Linked DNA regions of Arabidopsis thaliana. The protein of the gene in region 4 interacts with the protein of the main gene of each other region in a pairwise test. Each region holds a gene or a part of one and is shown on either strand. Other genes may lie near its edges.

Evidence for each region.
Region 1: the proteins of NAC089 (region 4) and PYL7 interact in binary tests that used the Arabidopsis thaliana proteins (3 or more experiments, as listed by UniProt).
Region 2: the proteins of NAC089 (region 4) and PAS1 interact in binary tests that used the Arabidopsis thaliana proteins (3 or more experiments, as listed by UniProt).
Region 3: the proteins of NAC089 (region 4) and RCAR1 interact in binary tests that used the Arabidopsis thaliana proteins (3 or more experiments, as listed by UniProt).

What each region holds. Positions count from the first base shown.
Region 1 is NC_003075.7:444,980-449,040, forward strand, and holds PYL7 (PYR1-like 7), read left to right. Parts: upstream 1-1,998; 5' UTR 1,999-2,200; coding exon 2,201-2,350; exon of another isoform or gene 2,351-2,574; coding exon 2,575-2,790; intron 2,791-2,860; coding exon 2,861-3,130; 3' UTR 3,131-3,356; downstream 3,357-4,061. Other genes in the region: AT4G01020 (helicase domain-containing protein / IBR domain-containing protein / zinc finger protein-like protein), read left to right, coding at 1-64; AT4G01023 (RING/U-box superfamily protein), read left to right, coding at 513-568, 864-1,200, 1,286-1,397, 1,479-1,741; AT4G01030 (pentatricopeptide (PPR) repeat-containing protein), read right to left, coding at 3,357-4,061. UniProt on the Arabidopsis thaliana protein: Receptor for abscisic acid (ABA) required for ABA-mediated responses such as stomatal closure and germination inhibition. Inhibits the activity of group-A protein phosphatases type 2C (PP2Cs) when activated by ABA.
Region 2 is NC_003074.8:19,999,019-20,005,812, forward strand, and holds PAS1 (FKBP-type peptidyl-prolyl cis-trans isomerase family protein), read left to right. Parts: upstream 1-1,802; 5' UTR 1,803-2,023; coding exon 2,024-2,097; intron 2,098-2,210; coding exon 2,211-2,295; exon of another isoform or gene 2,296-2,365; coding exon 2,366-2,435; intron 2,436-2,528; coding exon 2,529-2,626; intron 2,627-2,835; coding exon 2,836-2,958; intron 2,959-3,072; coding exon 3,073-3,105; intron 3,106-3,210; coding exon 3,211-3,269; intron 3,270-3,381; coding exon 3,382-3,463; intron 3,464-3,558; coding exon 3,559-3,717; intron 3,718-3,813; coding exon 3,814-3,871; intron 3,872-4,031; coding exon 4,032-4,180; intron 4,181-4,289; coding exon 4,290-4,387; intron 4,388-4,480; coding exon 4,481-4,550; intron 4,551-4,631; coding exon 4,632-4,691; intron 4,692-4,851; coding exon 4,852-4,908; intron 4,909-4,985; coding exon 4,986-5,054; intron 5,055-5,167; coding exon 5,168-5,245; intron 5,246-5,338; coding exon 5,339-5,440; intron 5,441-5,526; coding exon 5,527-5,598; intron 5,599-5,733; and 3 more. UniProt on the Arabidopsis thaliana protein: PPIases accelerate the folding of proteins. It catalyzes the cis-trans isomerization of proline imidic peptide bonds in oligopeptides. Essential protein regulating cell division, adhesion and elongation throughout the plant development and embryogenesis.
Region 3 is NC_003070.9:140,356-143,814, forward strand, and holds RCAR1 (regulatory component of ABA receptor 1), read left to right. Parts: upstream 1-1,514; 5' UTR 1,515-1,782; coding exon 1,783-1,926; intron 1,927-2,068; coding exon 2,069-2,284; intron 2,285-2,355; coding exon 2,356-2,559; 3' UTR 2,560-2,906; downstream 2,907-3,459. Other genes in the region: HTR12 (Histone superfamily protein), read left to right, coding at 3,418-3,459. UniProt on the Arabidopsis thaliana protein: Receptor for abscisic acid (ABA) required for ABA-mediated responses such as stomatal closure and germination inhibition.
Region 4 is NC_003076.8:7,375,289-7,379,289, reverse strand, and holds NAC089 (NAC domain containing protein 89), read left to right. Parts: upstream 1-1,513; 5' UTR 1,514-1,791; coding exon 1,792-1,993; exon of another isoform or gene 1,994-2,173; coding exon 2,174-2,427; intron 2,428-2,593; coding exon 2,594-2,824; intron 2,825-2,910; coding exon 2,911-3,246; 3' UTR 3,247-3,451; downstream 3,452-4,001. UniProt on the Arabidopsis thaliana protein: Transcription factor involved in plant cell division.

The DNA.
Region 1 (4,061 bases), on a different chromosome or scaffold from region 4:
AATCGGATTAGTCGAGTTAGGTGTCCCAGAGCACCCTGTTGCCCAGCCTGTTCACAGGCTTTGAAACCGGACTGGACCCATGTATCTATATCCTGTAACATCTGGTTTGCTTAATGTGTACATATATGTGAACATAGTGTAGTTCGGTATAGTACCTTCTTTAACCAATTGAATGAACCGATCATATTCTAATCCGGATGCCAAATAAACTAAAGATTGTTGTAAATGAAAGACTTGGGACTTGACTCGCTACATCACTGATTACGCGTAAATGTCTACAGAGAGTTTACTAAGTTGAAAGAAAACTACTTCCTAACATACAGAGACATCGCCATTAATGGCCTTAACTTAAGAGTCAAAAAAACATTTGATGGGCCTACCCTTAATTAAAAGCCCAATTCGATATTCGAATCGAACCCACCGGCCTAACTAAACTGTTCAGTGTCCCCAAATCTTTTTGCAACTTCTTTCTTCTTCATATTCTTCTCACCGTGAAGGCGTCGTCACCGCCGATGTTATTATCTCCGGCGATGTTTTCTGATCATCACTGCTTTACTCTTACTGCGAGGTTGGTTATTTTCAAATCTTCTTCTCTCCGTTCTTTCTTTCGAAGTCAGAAACTTTGCCGCCATTTTCAGTAAAAGGGTTGATTCTACATTCCCTAGAATCATCTAATAACTAGGGTTTTCATTAGGTTACGTATTGGTTAAAATTAGTTGAAATCATGTTTCTTATTTCTCTTTTCGAACTAAATTTGGTAATCAGATCTCTAGAGTGTATGATTTGTCATAACATCTAATCGAAATTAGAATCCGTATATGTTTCATTCAGAGAATAAATCCTGACTTGTTAATTTGATATAGAATGTCAGATTCTGATGAAGCTAAAACGTCGGAGGAAGAATCTCAACTTGCTGAGCAAGAAACAGAGACTCAAGAAGGTGAAATGACTAAAAACTTAAAGAAAAGAGATCTTGATGCAGTAGAAGATGAAGATTCGAATAACGAAAGCTCCAGATTAGAGAAACTAGAGAAGAAGATAAAAAAAGAAACAGCGAGGAAGCTTGAAACTGACTTTGTGCTAACAGGGGAAGAGGATGATGATGCATTGCCCTTAGCCTGTTCCATTTGCCAAAACCCATTCTTGGATCCTGTTGTCACCAACTGCAACCATTACTTCTGCGACAAGTGTGCTCTAAAGGTAATCTTTTCCTTACAACAAGTTTCGTAATTTCTGAAAACACACTCAAAACAGATTTTCCTTGTTATTTTTTTTCATAATGCAGCATCACACTGAGAACGATACTTGTTTTGTGTGTAACGAGCCAACTCTAGGGCTTTTCGACACAGCCGTGGAGATCAAGGAAAGAATAGAGGAAGAACGTGAGAAAGCCAGAGGTTTGTTAAAAACGCAAAACTCTCTGTTTTGACACCAAAAACCTACTCTTACAAAACTCGCTCGGTGATGTCTCTTTGTAGCCATGGTAAAGGAAGTGACAGCAATGTTAGAAAAGGCATCGACAATGGCGGATGACGCCAAGGGCGTAGCGCAAAAGGTTGTAAAAATGGTGGAGGAGATTGAAACAATGGTGGAAAAAGTGGCGGCTATGGCCACAAAGGCGGGAGAAACGGCGACAATGGCGGCAGATATGGTGAAAGAAGCTGAGGAGACGATGGAAACAGCTAAAGCTAATATGTCCAAAGCCTTTGTGGTAATGAAGTCGGTGAATTGGAACGTGTAAATCGGGTCAAAACAGAGTTTTATTGTGATCTCATGCTGACATCAGCTACAATCTTTATCTAATAAGATAGATTCTCACAAGATTCTTTTATCTATCTACTTTTTAGAGAAGATGAGATCATACTTCGGAGATAGATAGGTGTCGTAAAAATTGGGAAGCTTACTTGGCAGGAGAAGAGAGATATACACACGTGCTTAAAGTCAACAGCTAATCCAAAAAGGTAGACGACAAACCAGTTAAACTAAGACACGTAATCTATCTTAAAGATTTGTCGGTTCATCGTAAATCCGTTGGTGGATTAATATATGTCGGTGTCTTCGTTGATTTTCTTAGCCTAACCAACCAAACATAAATAAAAATCGAAGCTTTACTTTGTTTGCTTCTATTATATCCACTTCCAACAAGATTCCTCAAAAGGAAAGAAGAGAAAGAAGATAAGAGATATCTGGTTGGTCGGAGATGGAGATGATCGGAGGAGACGATACAGATACAGAGATGTACGGAGCTCTAGTGACGGCACAGTCCTTAAGGTTGCGTCATCTTCACCACTGCAGAGAGAACCAGTGTACCTCTGTTCTCGTCAAATACATTCAAGCTCCTGTTCATCTTGTACGCTCTTCTATTCTCTCATCCTCTGTTTTTCTTTCTCTGTTTTCTTTATGTACTTTGTTGAAGTTAATTCTGTCTGATTCACCGGGAAAATGAAATTTCGCCGGATTTAGGGTTCCCGATCTTTCTATTTTTGTTTGCAAATTCTCGTTTTTTTTTTAGTTTACTTGTTGGTCTCTCTTAGTCTTAAAGCTAAGGATAGTGAATATACATATATGATTCAGGTTTGGTCACTGGTGCGGAGATTTGATCAGCCGCAGAAATACAAACCATTTATAAGCAGATGCACTGTAAATGGTGATCCTGAGATCGGTTGTCTCAGAGAAGTAAATGTCAAATCTGGTCTTCCAGCAACCACCAGTACAGAGAGATTGGAACAGCTTGATGATGAAGAACACATCCTCGGTATCAACATCATTGGTGGTGATCATAGACTTAAGGTGACTAAATCCAAATCTCATAGTATTCAGAAACATTAGCGGTTGCTATAATGGTTATTGTTTTCTGCAGAATTACTCTTCGATCTTGACTGTGCATCCGGAGATGATTGATGGAAGGTCAGGAACTATGGTGATGGAGTCTTTTGTTGTGGATGTTCCTCAAGGCAACACCAAAGATGATACATGTTACTTCGTGGAATCACTCATAAAGTGTAACCTCAAATCCTTGGCTTGTGTCTCTGAAAGATTGGCTGCTCAAGACATTACCAATTCCATCGCAACTTTCTGTAACGCTTCCAATGGATACAGAGAGAAGAATCATACAGAAACCAACCTTTGAAGATTTGGCTAGATTAGTCCCACGAACAAACTCAGTGAAGGAAATTTAGATTCATAGAAGCACGTGTGATCATGCTTCTCTGCTGCTTTACTCAGATCAGCTCCATGGGCCATTTTCGAGCATGCAGTCAAAGTTTTGATGTAATTTGTTTTCTGGTGTTTGTTGGACAGTGTCTGTATTTACGCACCATTGTTAGAAAAAACAGAGCTAGGTAGTATCTATATTATCACCAAGAGTCGTTGCAGGAACATTTTCCGTCTCTGAAATGATGAACCCTTGCCCCTTCTTGTAAAACAATCTCACGGTTTCTCAAAACCGACATGTATTTGGCTACGGTGTGGCTATCAGAACATATATTCGTGTTTTTGACCACTCTTATAGGAGCTAAGCCTTTCTTCTTGATAAGGCCATACGTCATTGCTAACTTCTCTGTATGTCCCATAAGCAGCTTCTCTTTCTCTGAATCACTTATGTCTTGGTGTATACAGCTTGTGTCTGGCACATAACCTGATTTCTTCATCTCAGAGACTAATTTGTACAGCTCAAAGTATATATCTCCTTCATCAGGATGTGTTTTTCCCTCCGCATAGAAGATGTGAACCGTTTGATCTATCTGAATCCAGCTCCACAGATCCTGGACTCTCACCCTGTTATTCCTCATTAAGTTCCGTATACGTTCAACATCTTCCCATCTGTTCAAATTACTGTACAAGTTTATCATCATCATGTAGTTAGCTGAATTGTGTGGTTCTAGTACTTGAAGCCTCTTCCAAGCGATTTCCGCGAGTTCTAGGTCTCTATGAATCTTACAAGATGAAAGAAAAGCACCCCAAATAGTTGCATCGGGTTTTAATGACATTGTTTGAATGAAGTCCCAGGCTTCATCAAGATAACCCGATCTCCCGAGCAGATCTACCATGCAAGAGCAGTG
Region 2 (6,794 bases), on a different chromosome or scaffold from region 4:
TTAAGAAAACTTACCATTGAGACTACTACTGACAGTCTGACAGAAGTAACCAATACAAAAAGATAAAAAGGTGATATGTACTATATACCCAAAACCTAATGAGCCTTGTTATTAGCAACAAAACTCAGGTCATATAGTAGTATTTAAACAAGTGAAATGGTAAAATCGTATAGAAAGGAATTTGGCAACCTATTAATTAATGGATCATTAAATATTTAGAAGCACACGAGCACTTAAATAACTCGATTTTTGATTAAATGCTGAAATGCTGGTCTTCTTTGTGGATCAACGTGCAGAGTTTGTCCTATGCCATTTGTTACTCCAGATTAATAAATATTGACAACTTCTATTAGTATTGAAATTTGAGTTGTGGCAGCTGTTTTTAGTTGTATTGGTTTTCTCGGTGTTTGTTTCCAACAACTAGTACCAAATCATCATGTCCAGTTTTTTTATTATTACTAGTAGTATTTTCTTTCGTCGACCTATATTATTGTTTCAAGTTTTGTAACCACATAATCTAATTAGCACAGTAATGTAGTCATCAAATAACAATTCGTCTTGCTCGAGTCCTGAATCCAATACCCTGATCTAAACCATTTTCTATGGGAGTATGGGAATGGGACTCACATTTTCATGTGGGTGTTTTTGTATGTTGACTGCTTCACGCGGTTCGTATCGTTCTACTAAATTATTGGTAATTGTTCGGATATATAACATTTATGAAAACCATTTGCACTTTCACATGACTCGCATTAATGCCACTTTCCTCATTTTCCATAGTTCACATAAGAACAACATAGTACATATACTATAAACTATGTGATTGATTACTATTTTGAAGAAAATAAAGCTTGCATACATACAGGTTTCTGTATTCACATTTAGATTTTCGGATTCACAAGCTCGAAGTATTCATATTTGTATTTTCAAGTTATTTTCTCTGTGTTATACTCGGAAACCACATTGGCCTATCTAATTAACAAAACATATGATATGCTTAAATGGCATTAAATGCTAATATGAAAAACATGTCCTATGGATTATTGGTAAGTGCGAGATTTAATGAAAGTTACAATGCTTGATTTCTTAAAGGTTACAATTTCGTACTATTGAAGACAAACTATATTTGCAAGAGAAGAAATTAGCTACCAAAATTAATACAGTATAGTATTCCCTCTTCTGTCACTATCTGTTCACTGCTTCTGCAAACCAATATTAAAACAAGTTGACCTATTTGCAACTATCTGTCTCCAATTATGTTTCAATTTTTGTGTATTTTGGATTTTCTTTGCTCGGCCTTTTTCCTTATATGGATTCTGAATGCTAGGAAAAAACAGAATAGAGTGAATTGGTTCTCACATGCATAGAAGAATTTTCAAGAGAAACATATTTGCTCAACTAACAACTACCAACCCATCACCAAATTTTCGTTTCATTTGTTGTACAAATTATAGACCCAAAAATGTTCATCCACAATCGATTGAGGTACCTCATGTACACCTATATTAAACATACAACATAATTCCAAAATGGTTTGGATCCGGTCTGGTTTTTTACTTTGAGGCAAATAACATTAGATTATTTAAGATTGAAAGCTCACAACTAGCCTTCTTTTAGGGCAAAGTACACGTAACCAATTTTTTAATTTTCATATCGAACTTAACAAATTGTAACCATTTGCAAAAATGAAGCAAACAAAAAGTACAAAACAGATTACATGGACTATTATATAATTGGAAGCCCGTTTGGCCTTAAAGCCCGTTAAAAAAACATATGTGTATTTTTTAGCAATATGTCTGATAAAAAAATTTAAAAACTAATCTTGTTTAATTCAGTAAGACATTTACTAGACTTTTCACAATTCAACACAGTTGTTGTTGGTTGAGCTACCCAGCCAGTATCAAGAGAGGAAGGTAGAGAGGAGTGAGAGAGAGCTTTGGGATCGATTTCATGTCGTAGATCTTTCACTCTGGGTTTGCGTTCCACAAAATCCTAATTCGCGGAACTCTGGATTTGATCGGCGATGGCGGTAGGCGATCAGACGGAGCAGAATTACTTGCCGAAGAAGAAGAAATCCGAAACGGAAGATGATAAGAGGTTCATGATTGTTTTATCTTCTTTGTAATCTATGTTTGAATCAGTTGATTTTATTTTGTTGTTGCTGGGAGTAGTGAGTAGATCATTAATTTGAGAAATTGAATGTGGAATAGGAGGAAGAAAATTGTTCCCGGGAGCTTGTTGAAAGCTGTGGTGCGACCTGGAGGAGGTGATTCGAGCCCCGTTGATGGTGATCAGGTTAATAATTTTGGTTTTGTTTTTGCTTCTCGTGGTCAATTTTGGTTGTTTATGAGTGTTTTTTCGTCAGGTTATTTATCACTGCACTGTACGGACACTGGATGGTGTAGTTGTGGAATCTACGAGGTCAGAATCTGGAGGTGAGATTGATTGATGAAACATTTCTCAGTAGGGTGTTGCTTTTAGCTTTTTGTTAGGGGCATCGTTGAATGTGTTGTTTGATGTTCCTTCAGGGAGAGGTGTACCGATCAGAGATGTCTTGGGAAACAGCAAAATGATTCTTGGATTGCTCGAAGGAATTCCCACGATGCACAAGGGTGAAATTGCAATGGTAACTCTAAAAACTCTTTAAAGATCAGTGTCGCCTCAATGATAACGTTTGTGTCTCTTTACTCGGCTGCGTAGTTTGGGTTCTGAAGAGGGTCTTGTTGATTTACCTCAAGTTCAATGAGTCGATTCGCCAAATCTTCCATTAGCTATTTCAACTTACTTTCTTGATTCTCAACGGCTGAAAAGTCTTTATCTTTTTCCTTTTTTCAGTTCAAGATGAAACCTGAAATGCACTATGCAGAGATTGATTGTCCAGTCTCAGCTCCAGAAAATTTTCCAAAAGATGATGAGCTTCATTTTGAGATTGAGTTGTTGGATTTTTCTAAAGCCAAGGCGAGATCTCATCACTAACCAAGATAACAGTGCATTAGTTAGCCGAAAGACTCTGAAATTTTGCATTTCATCTGTTTTGACTTATGCTTTCCTTTCCTTTGTGTTAATTTCCAGATTGCAAGTGATGATCTGGGGGTCATCAAGAAGGTAGGACCTGATTTTCCATATATGTAGACATATCAAATGGGTCAGGGATGATGTATTTCTTGTTCGTACTGATGGCTCAAGCATTGCTTTCCTTTTCTATGAAAGATTCTAAATGAAGGTGAGGGCTGGGAATCTCCCAGAGAACCCTATGAAGTGAAAGCCAGGTAATTTATTCTTGATCATTCCTGCATTTTGGGTCAAAATATATTTAACCTTGTTTTTCCATTTGGGGCAACGTTGAGTGAAGTTTTAATGCATTTCTGTGGTGTATATTAGAATATCTGCTAAATCCGGTGATGGACACGTGATCTTCTCTCACACAGAAGAACCTTATTTCTTCACATTTGGAAAATCTGAGGTAATTGTTAAGTTTATGGGGCAGTTTTTACTCTCTGTCCATGCAAATCCATTCTAGTGGAATACATTTCTGACTATTGCTCGTCAATTAGGCAGGTGCCTAAAGGTCTTGAAATCGGAATTGGAACCATGGCTCGGAAGGAGAAGGCAGTGATATATGTTCGCAAGCAGTACTTGACTGAATCTCCTTTGTTGCATATAGATCAAGACCTTGAGGAAGTTCATTTTGAGGTTGAACTGGTACATTTCATTCAGGTAAGAAAGACAAATGCAATGCAATAAGAAAACAGTATTTTGTGCATTTAAGAATTGGGAAACTGAGCGACTGACATTCAAGTTCTCGCTTTGAAGGTGCGGGACATGCTTGGAGATGGACGTCTCATAAAACGTCGAATTCGAGATGGAAGAGGTATGTTTCACACTTTCTTTTCAACTGTCTCTTATCTGTTTCAACATGGTGCGGGTTTTTGTTCTTATATATCTTGCTGGGGCATCTGCTAGATTCCAGCTCTTGTTTATAGTTTATCCGCTAGACTATTCTGATCTACAACGTTTGACCAACTTATTAGGCGAGTTTCCAATGGATTGTCCTCTCCAAGATAGTCGTTTAAGCGTTCACTACAAGGGCATGCTTCTCAATGAAGAGAAGACTGTCTTCTATGATAGCAAGATTGACAATAATGATCAACCGTTGGAGTTCAGTTCAGGAGAAGGACTGGTCAGTTACTCCAACGTTTATAGGAAAACCTAGTGGAGTTCTTTAGACGTTTTAGTTGAAATATATCTCTACGCACGGACTGGTTAAGATTATTCTGTCGTATTTGCAGGTCCCTGAAGGGTTTGAGATGTGTACTCGTTTGATGCTACCTGGGGAGATTGCTCTTGTTACATGCCCCCCTGATTATGCATATGACAAATTTCCGAGGTTATACTCTTAACTGTGTAAATAACACTAACACGATAGTGTATAAACTGTTGTCGGAGAAATAAACGCATTTCATGTTTTCTTTTCTGATAGACCACCTGGCGTGTCTGAAGGTGCACATGTTCAGTGGGAGATTGAACTCCTTGGTTTCGAAACGCCAAGAGTAAGTTGGTCTAGTGTTGATACTTACCATGGAAATTGTAAACAGCTTCCGTTTCTTATAAGTCTAGAGATTCTGTCTCAGGACTGGACTGGCTTGAACTTCCAGAGCATCATGGACGAGGCAGATAAAATCAGAAGCACGGTATGGATAAAATATTCTGCTACCATTTATAATTTGACCTATAGTCCTAAATTTTTATCACTTCAGAATTTGCTATTAGCTAATCTTTTCTGCAATCAGGTCACACCAGATCTATTAATTTATGGTTCTTCTCTCCTTTTGGTTATACTATGAACTTCAGGGTAATAGGCTTTTCAAAGAAGGAAAATTTGAGCTCGCAAAAGCAAAGTACGAAAAGGTAATAGAAGTCATGTGATAACCAATTCCAGTATTAGCATTTGTTTCATTGTGTCTGAGCGGTAAATCCAAAACCAGGTGCTCCGGGAATTTAATCATGTTAACCCACAAGATGAAGATGAAGGAAAAATATTTGGTGACACAAGGGTGAGTTCCATCTTCTCATTACGTTTGTAGTTGCAGATACGTCTAGATTTGATAATATTAGAAGTATTAAGTACTAACTAGCTCTCGTATCCTTGCTCTGCTGATATTTGAAGAATATGTTACATCTGAATGTTGCGGCTTGCTTGCTTAAAATGGGAGAGTGGAGGAAGTCTATAGAGACATGCAATAAGGTAGCATTCAATAAACAATTCTCTTAAGAAGGCTTGATTCTGGAATAAGAGGTTGGGATTTCTGAGACCTTTTGTGCACCAATTTCCAAATAGGTTCTAGAAGCAAAGCCTGGTCATGTGAAAGGTCTATACCGCCGCGGAATGGCTTACATTGCAGGTGGAGAGTATGATGACGCTAGAAATGACTTCAATATGGTATATTATGCTAAACCTGCATATCATTATCTAGTGAATAGATTCAGAAATCTGCTTACTCACTGACTTATGTGTCTGTGTTTTAGATGATCAAAGTGGATAAATCATCAGAAGCTGATGCGACCGCTGCTCTATTGAAACTGAAGCAGAAGGAACAGGTCAGTGTTTGAAAACTATCTCAACCAAATGTCCACCCGAATCGAGTTCATTAAGGCTACTTATGGTTTGGGCTTGTTTTGCCAATTTTGTTACTTAATATAAGATCTCTGAGTTGTTTTCTTTTGAGCTCACAGGAAGCGGAGAGCAAGGCTAGAAAACAGTTCAAAGGATTATTCGACAAGAGACCGGGGGAGATAACCGAAGTTGGTTCAGAAATAAGAGAGGAGTCTAAAACTATAGAAGAAGTAGATGAGACAAAGGATAATGATGATGATGAAACACTGGAAGAAGAAGGAGCTACGACAGTGAGCACGGAAAGGAAGAGGAAATGGTCGGAGAAAGCCTGGCCGTTTCTGAAGAACGTGATGCTCCAAATCGGAATCCAGCTTGGTGTTGTTCTGATAGGGATTTTGATTTTCCAGTTTGTGAGCGCCAAATTTACATGAGAGAGATATGAATGAATAAACAAACCAACGGCACTGTAGACTCAGAAAATATAAAACTAATGGATTAAACGTTAAGCTTAATGTATTTTTGTTTGGTTTAGTTTATGAAAGTAGTTGCTCAAAGATGGAATTATTTGCACCACTACACGATCCTCTCTTGCTTCCTCAAGTGATTGGTGTTTGTTTGTTTCATTCAAATTCTACGAGATGATGACAAGAAAGAAGATGTTAATGTAGAACATGACTTAATTGTATAATCTCCCAAAATTTATTCATTAGTCATCTTTTTATCCTATAGGTAATAGGATTATCCTACTGTATAGATTGTTGTAATGATTAGTGTTAGGTTTTTGTTGAAAAACAGTATCTACTTTTCTATTTTTTCTACTTTTAGTATAAGATGTTTTGGGAAAACGAATTATTTTACAAAGAAAATGTTTTGTACATATGCAAAATATGTATATAAATATGCTTTAACGAATTTTATGTTGTAGGAAATGTGTGATTATATAAATCAACTTTAGATAACACAGAGTAATTAATCCCACCCACCAATCATCCACTCGGCTGAATAAAATGTCGCCACTTTTAAAAACAAAAAGAAAGATTAAACCGTTTTCTCCGTGTGGAACTCGCGTTTTATCGTACACCCAAAACGTTGCTTAAATTGATTTTGCAAAACGCTGATTTTGCTTCTTATCGGAGATTTTTTTGGGGGCAACGGAGAAATTTGTTTTAGGGCTTTTTGC
Region 3 (3,459 bases), on a different chromosome or scaffold from region 4:
CAAATGAACAAAAAGAAGAATTACACGTGTCAAGTTCACGAGAAACGACATAATACGTGAACATGAAAATGACAGACAATAAACCAATGAAAATATGACACGTATATTGGTTTCCTATTATTTAACCGTATTTAGCTCATTGTCGCTGTCACTAAAAAGGCTCCTTGTTTTTATCTTGAAGCAGTTAATAATTTACGCCAAAGTCGTCTTTTGCGTTTAAGTTCGCATGCCTAGCTAGTGCCAAAGGTGATCCTATCCGATAAGCTTTGTTTTGGGTAAATTTTTATCTGATAAGGTTACTGTAATTATCGTCAATTACCGCTCTTTTAAGTACTATATTATCACTTAACATTTTTTAAAAAATATGATTGCAGAAAATGTTATATATAAACTAAATCCCTATTTTATCATAACGTCAATTTCAGACAATTAATGAGATATGTAAGCATAAACCATATTCATATTGAACAAGAAAACCTCCGGTTACAATTATATGTGTTGTTTAAAATGGTTACAAAATCGGAAGATTGTTCGTTATGAAAACCTTAAACCATAATTAATACATATGTTAGAAGATAATTAGATAAGTAATCATTTAACTAGATTTATCTAAAAAGTGATTATGTTGTTTTTGTTTGAGAAAACCAAGTAAAGGTGAGTCTTTTCTCCTTTGGGAAAAACAAAAGTAGAATTCAAAAAAGAAAGAAATAGAATTCACTAATTATATAGTAATCCATTAATATTACTGGTTAGAAAGCGTAATTAGCGGCGGTGGTTATCAAAAGTGACTTCCACCATATGTTTCGAAAGCTTGAGTTTCACGAAGAAGATGGAGGAGGGGCAACTTTAGACTAGTGGAGATGAATCGAATGATGATTTATTGTAGATTCTTTGTGGTATCTCATCTTTCCTTCGTATGAGGTGTGATTCACAACAAATACAATTTAACAAAAACTAGTTTGTCTACATTCGGTATGATATAATTAAGGACTTTGTCTCAAACAGATTAAAGTTCTTGTTTCATGATTTTAGATTGTGGATGCCTTGTACCAATCTTCTTGTAGAAATGCCTTCTCCTCCTAGAAGAGAAATTACACCTTACGTGTCGTACATGACTACATGGAACAGTCACTTTGCAGATAGGATATGGTGTTAGACATTTAGCTTGATACAATTAATTAATGTTTAACAACAAGGTTTAAAGGCAACGAGAGCTATATCTAATAAGATGTGGTCTAAGACATATGAGACCTGATACATGGAGAATCACTCATTTATAAATTTCTGGTATATTAACGACATTTTGTGTCTAAAAAATTAGCTATTATAATGAATATGGTCTAAAATTGAATTTAAATTAACAAAACTATCTATAAAGTTTGAAACGATCTTACCTAATCAAAACAAATAATTATCTAAGCAATCTGTTTTGTTTTGTTCGGATTATATAGGTCCCCAAAACGTCATACAATAAAACTTGCTTAAATATTTTGTTTTTTTGTTACATTAAAAAATTAGTATCTTGTTGTGTTTTTGTTTGGTTTGAAAAGCTGAAAATGTGTGAAGGAGAAGAAGGAAGCTATAAAAAAGAGTTTAGGTACAAAAGTAAAAAGTTATTATGTCGGTGGGTTCATTAAAAGAAACCAAAAAACATAAACAAGTAATTTTGTTTTGGCATAACGAAGCATCTTCTTCTTCTTCCTTGTATTTATTATCCATTTCCAGAGATTCTCCCTTGTGAGATAACAACGAAGAACGAAAGAGAGAGAGAGAGAGAGAGATATGATGGACGGCGTTGAAGGCGGCACGGCGATGTACGGTGGTCTCGAGACGGTGCAATACGTACGGACGCATCATCAACATCTGTGCAGAGAAAACCAGTGTACCTCTGCTCTTGTCAAACACATCAAAGCTCCTCTTCATCTCGTAAGCTTCTCCAATCTACCACTAATTTCACCCTTTTCGTACCATTTTCTCCATGATCCGTCAATTTTGATCCCAACCATCGATTTAGGGTTTTTTCCCCCAAATCTCTGTTTAACGATTGATTATAATTGATTTTTTTTAGGTTTGGTCACTTGTACGGAGATTTGATCAGCCGCAGAAATACAAACCGTTTGTGAGCAGATGTACAGTAATCGGTGATCCTGAAATCGGCAGTCTTAGAGAAGTCAATGTTAAATCTGGTCTTCCTGCAACAACATCTACTGAGAGATTAGAACTTCTTGATGATGAAGAACACATCCTCGGTATCAAAATCATCGGTGGTGATCACAGACTTAAGGTACAGCGAGAGAAATCAAATCTCATTGATGTTTGTTTATATGCAGATTCTCATTGATTGTTTGTTTGCAGAATTACTCGTCGATTTTGACGGTTCATCCGGAGATAATCGAGGGAAGAGCAGGAACGATGGTGATTGAATCGTTTGTAGTTGATGTTCCTCAAGGTAACACAAAGGATGAGACTTGCTACTTTGTTGAAGCACTTATCAGATGTAATCTCAAGTCACTAGCAGATGTTTCTGAAAGATTGGCTTCTCAGGACATTACTCAGTGAACTACATAATCAATGAACAAGGGCATTGAAGTGAAGTATCAATTCCAGTTTGTGATATAATCAATATTCTTCAGGATTTTTTTGGTTTGGCCTAGATATATATATAGATATCTATCCTCGGTAATGACCAGTCTAAAAAGATGTACATATTGTCCCAATGGTGAAGTTTTGATGTAAGATATCTCCTGGTGGTTTGTTATTTGTAGATATTTTTGTAAACAATGTAAATGTGAATGGTTTATGATGTATAATATATAGTTCACAAAAGATGTTTCTGTAGACTTCAGATTCCACTTCTCTATTGAACAGAACCTATGATTGGATGCTGAGAACTTGTAAAGAATCTGAGGCAGAAAGTTGAAAAACTGTGTCAATTTCATTAACTTGAAAAGATGAGCATAAATTGGGAGAGAGAGAGAGAGACAAAGATTTTGAATTGAGGTTTAACGGTAAAACACACAAAACCTATTCCCCTCTGTTTCCAATTTTCATCTAAACAAACAGGTACATATTTGAATGTAATATTGTATACAGACCAGGGGTAAAACAGGAACTAAAGAAGGCTAACAATCGAGTCGAACCCTCTATGTGAAGCCACAGGTTTAGTGCAAATTGTAATAAGTTGTTCAGAGAGACTCTTGACTGAAACAAATTGTGAAGCAGATTCGATTTTAAAATCAAAATTTGAGTGTCGAGCGGGAAAGTAAAAGTTCCGCTCCAATCTTCTAATCTTTTCGTATCTAGCGGGAAATTTCTCAGCAGGTGACTTTCATAATCGCAGTTTTCGTCGATTCTCTTTTCCGATTTTACGATTCCTCTCTCTCTCTCATGGTGCGATTTCTCCAGCAGTAAAAATCAATGGCGAGAACCAAGCATCGCGTTACCAGGTCACAACCTCGG
Region 4 (4,001 bases):
GTGTATTTTATAAACTCTCTCTTTTTGTGTGTCGATTCTTTTTTAGTGAAGGGAAAAATGGGTTTAAAAAATCCTCATTTTCTCTAAAAACATTTACAATAACCATCACCTATATTGGTATTTATATGCATGCATATTGTACGATGGAGGAAGAATCGCAAGTGTATACGTCAACCACGGGAAAGATTTGATCGATGTTGACCGGAGGAGCCGCCGTGACTAGAGACATTTATTGGTGACTGGTCAGTTTGTCACCAATAAGATATATAGAGGAAATGAGTGATTCTAGTAGTAGTATCTTCTTGATGGGCTTGGTTGGTAGGTGTTTACTTGTACAACACATGATATATATTTTGATTTTTACTCTCTTTTTAACTGTAGGGGGAAATGCCAAAATGTGTAAAAAAATCCTCATTTTTTTCTAAAATCATCACCTATATTTATAGATTTTTTACAAAATTCAAAAGATAAAATACCCCCTCGATAACAAACCAACCTTAAAAACCAAACAAAGCGTTTGTTTATATATTTTGGTTGTTACTTGTTAGCATTCAATATTAATTATTGTTTACTTTTCGAAGGTATGAGGATTAGAAGATTAGATGTTTATCTCTTTTCTTAGTTTTAGACTTGATCTATATCCTTGGATGGTGTTATAAAAGGTATCGAACTCTTTCACGTATCATTAGCTTTTGACTAAAATATTGTTGAAGAGTTCTATTTTTTAGTTCAAAGGCCTATGAAAGGAGGATTTTTAATTCTAAAGAGTTTTGGTATGAAAAAACTCTTAAATCATATTATCGTTATCGATCATTGTTGATCTTGACAAAATATAAATTTGTTGCTGAAATAATTTGGAGAATTTCTTGTTATGATTGTTTATAGTTTCCGTTCATCATCAACTTTAAACTTTTAATTGTACGAGAAACTTTCAAAGTAATTTTTGGATTCACATCACCAAAAAAATTAACAGAACAGAGTTAACCACGTTAATATCACTTTAGTTTTTTTACAAATAATGATTTGAGTATAATTTGATCGTAATTTGTAACCCCATTTCATCATGGAAACAACAATAAAGTTCACTCATACATTTCGTTTTCCCTGTCGTACCTTGACACAGAAACATAGTCCACAGATTTTACTACTAATACTATTTCGAAGACGTACGAGGTTTTACGGAGGGAGATTTGCGAAAATTCACCTTTCTTGTTTAGCTTTTTTGAACATGAGTTTTTGATTAAACTTAACTATATGGAAAGTCTTGTGGAGCAGTTGAAATCCATCAAGAAGGATAAGTTTTCTTGTAATGATAAGTGGTTAACCCTTAAGCTTCAAATCAACAAAAACTTTGAGGTAACGCTTGTTGATTACGAGATCCTGAACAAGATATTTTGGGATATATAATTGTGAGCGATTGATCGATAGTAAGATTTCGGATATATATTGGGACTTTATCTGAAAACACTAAACAATAAGTCGTAAATTGGGAGTACGTAAAAACATTAAGGGTCTAAATGAAATAAAACCTATAATATAACTAGGTTTAGTGACGTGGCATGCACACGTAGATTAAGCAATGCCTTGGCAACACGTATGCAAAAACCCATATGTGTGCACCTGTGAAGTGTTCCAATAACAATTCAAAAGCTCCCTGAGCAAGTGAGAAGAGACCACACTGAGAAGAAAAATCCTTCAGGTTATCGAAAATTCCCGGATTTTACTCTTTGGGCGGTGGCCGATTTCTTACGCGCTCTTTTTGTGGCGACTGTTGTATACGCGCGAGCCTTCATGGACACGAAGGCGGTTGGAGTTTCTAAGGATACGGCGGCGTCGATGGAAGCGTCGACGGTGTTTCCTGGGTTTAAATTCTCGCCGACGGATGTGGAGTTGATTTCGTATTACCTGAAGCGGAAGATGGATGGCTTGGAGAGGTCCGTTGAGGTTATACCGGACCTTGAGATTTACAATTTCGAGCCTTGGGATTTACCCGGTTTGTCTTCGAATTCGAACCAATTGATTCTTTTGTGTCTTTCTTCTACTTGGAATTTGATTTTGTTGTTCTTCAGGCTTCAGGAGAGATCTCTATTTTGGGTGCCTAAGATATAAAGTTTCTATTTTTTGGCTCTTGGATTGGAATTGACAATTTTTTTTGTGTGTTTGTTCTTTGCAGATAAGTCGATTGTGAAATCTGATAGCGAGTGGTTCTTCTTCTGTGCGCGTGGGAAAAAGTATCCACATGGTTCACAGAACAGGAGAGCAACGAAGATGGGATACTGGAAAGCAACTGGGAAAGAGCGTGATGTGAAGTCTGGTTCTGAGGTCATTGGAACAAAGAGGACGCTTGTTTTCCATATTGGTCGTGCACCAAAAGGCGAAAGAACTGACTGGATTATGCACGAGTACTGCGTGAAAGGAGTATCTCTGGTAAAACTGTTCTCGAGAGTTTGTTTTTTCTTATAGATTAATTGTTAACCATTACATAAGAGGTGGTGACTTTGGCTACTTTTTGAGTCTCTAAGAGGAATACAGTAAAATTTTAGGAGTTTTGTCTTTGGCTTGAGTTGATTGATTATGTTTATGTAAATTCTAGGATGATGCTATGGTTGTTTGCCGGGTTAGGAGGAACAAAGAATACAATAGTGGTACAAGTCAGAAGGCACCAAAGCCAAATTCATCAGCCGAGAAGCATGCGAAAGTCCAAAATGGCGCTACGAGTTCAGGGAGCCCGTCTGATTGGGACAACTTGGTTGATTTTTACCTAGCAGGTGAATCAGGGGAGAAACTACTCGCTGAGATGGCAGAGTCATCAGAAAATCTACAGGTTTTGTCACCTGGCTTCTAATTGTTGTATGATGGTTCTTGATTGTTGTCGTTCTTCTTAATGAATGTTATGTGTGTGTGGTTTAGGTGGATAATGACGAGGATTTCTTTGCGGATATCCTAAGAGACGAAATCATCAATCTCGATGAAGCGGTGATGACAGGGAACACACCAAACGAAGTGCCAACACTAGAATCAGCATCAATGGAGATAAGGGTACTTCCTTTACCAAACATGATAGACAAACAAATGTCATCACTGTTAGAGGAAAGACCATCACAGAAGAAGAAAGGAAAAGACGCCACGGAATCATTGTCGAGCTGCTTCGTGGGTTTATACTCGATCAAATCAGTGAACAAGGCACGATGGGATGTTATTATAGGTGTAGTGGCTCTGATAGCAATGTTGTTTTATCTAGAATAAGAGGCTTATGGAAGTAGCGAAAAACAGTGTCCTAGCTATGTTTGTATCATCTTTTCTCGGACATTGACAAGGATTATATGATGTTTTTGTGTAAACGGTTTATGTTTTACACTTCTACTTCAAATCTGTGCAACCAAATCAAAACCTGAAATATCAAGCACAGAAGAACTAGTGGATATAGTTTTTACACTTCAAGGCTTATTAAGTGGTGTGTTTAATGAGAATCAGAGAATGGATAAATGATGGGGGCAAATTAGTAAATGACTATTTTCCAAATCCGTACTGTTTATCTTTCTCGTCCAGATGGTTGTTGCACTAAGATTTGTAGAATTTTCTCGCCGCCATTAAACCTCTGCTTTTGTTTCTTTCTCTCTTCTTCTATACGAGAACCCATTTTGGAGAAGTCAAGTTTCCTCAATACTCCGTCAAGCCGATTTTATTGATCTCGATCAGTTTCGTCAATTTTTCCGGTTTAAGAAACCCTAGAAAAGCTGATGATTCGATAATGAAGTTTGATTTCACTGTGATAAATCGATCTGTAAGTTGGAGATACTTAATCGTCTTCGTTATATCTTCTACGATGCTTCAATTTTGCTTTGTTGTGCTGAGGAAATTCAGTTTTTCTGTAGTATGTGTTATTTGCTTATCCTTAGTAAGTTAGTTACATATGAAGGAGATTCGTATTGAAACCCTAGGTCATTGATTTGATGGAGTTGCTTTTTATAGTATCAGCTTACACTGTTTACATTGTTCTA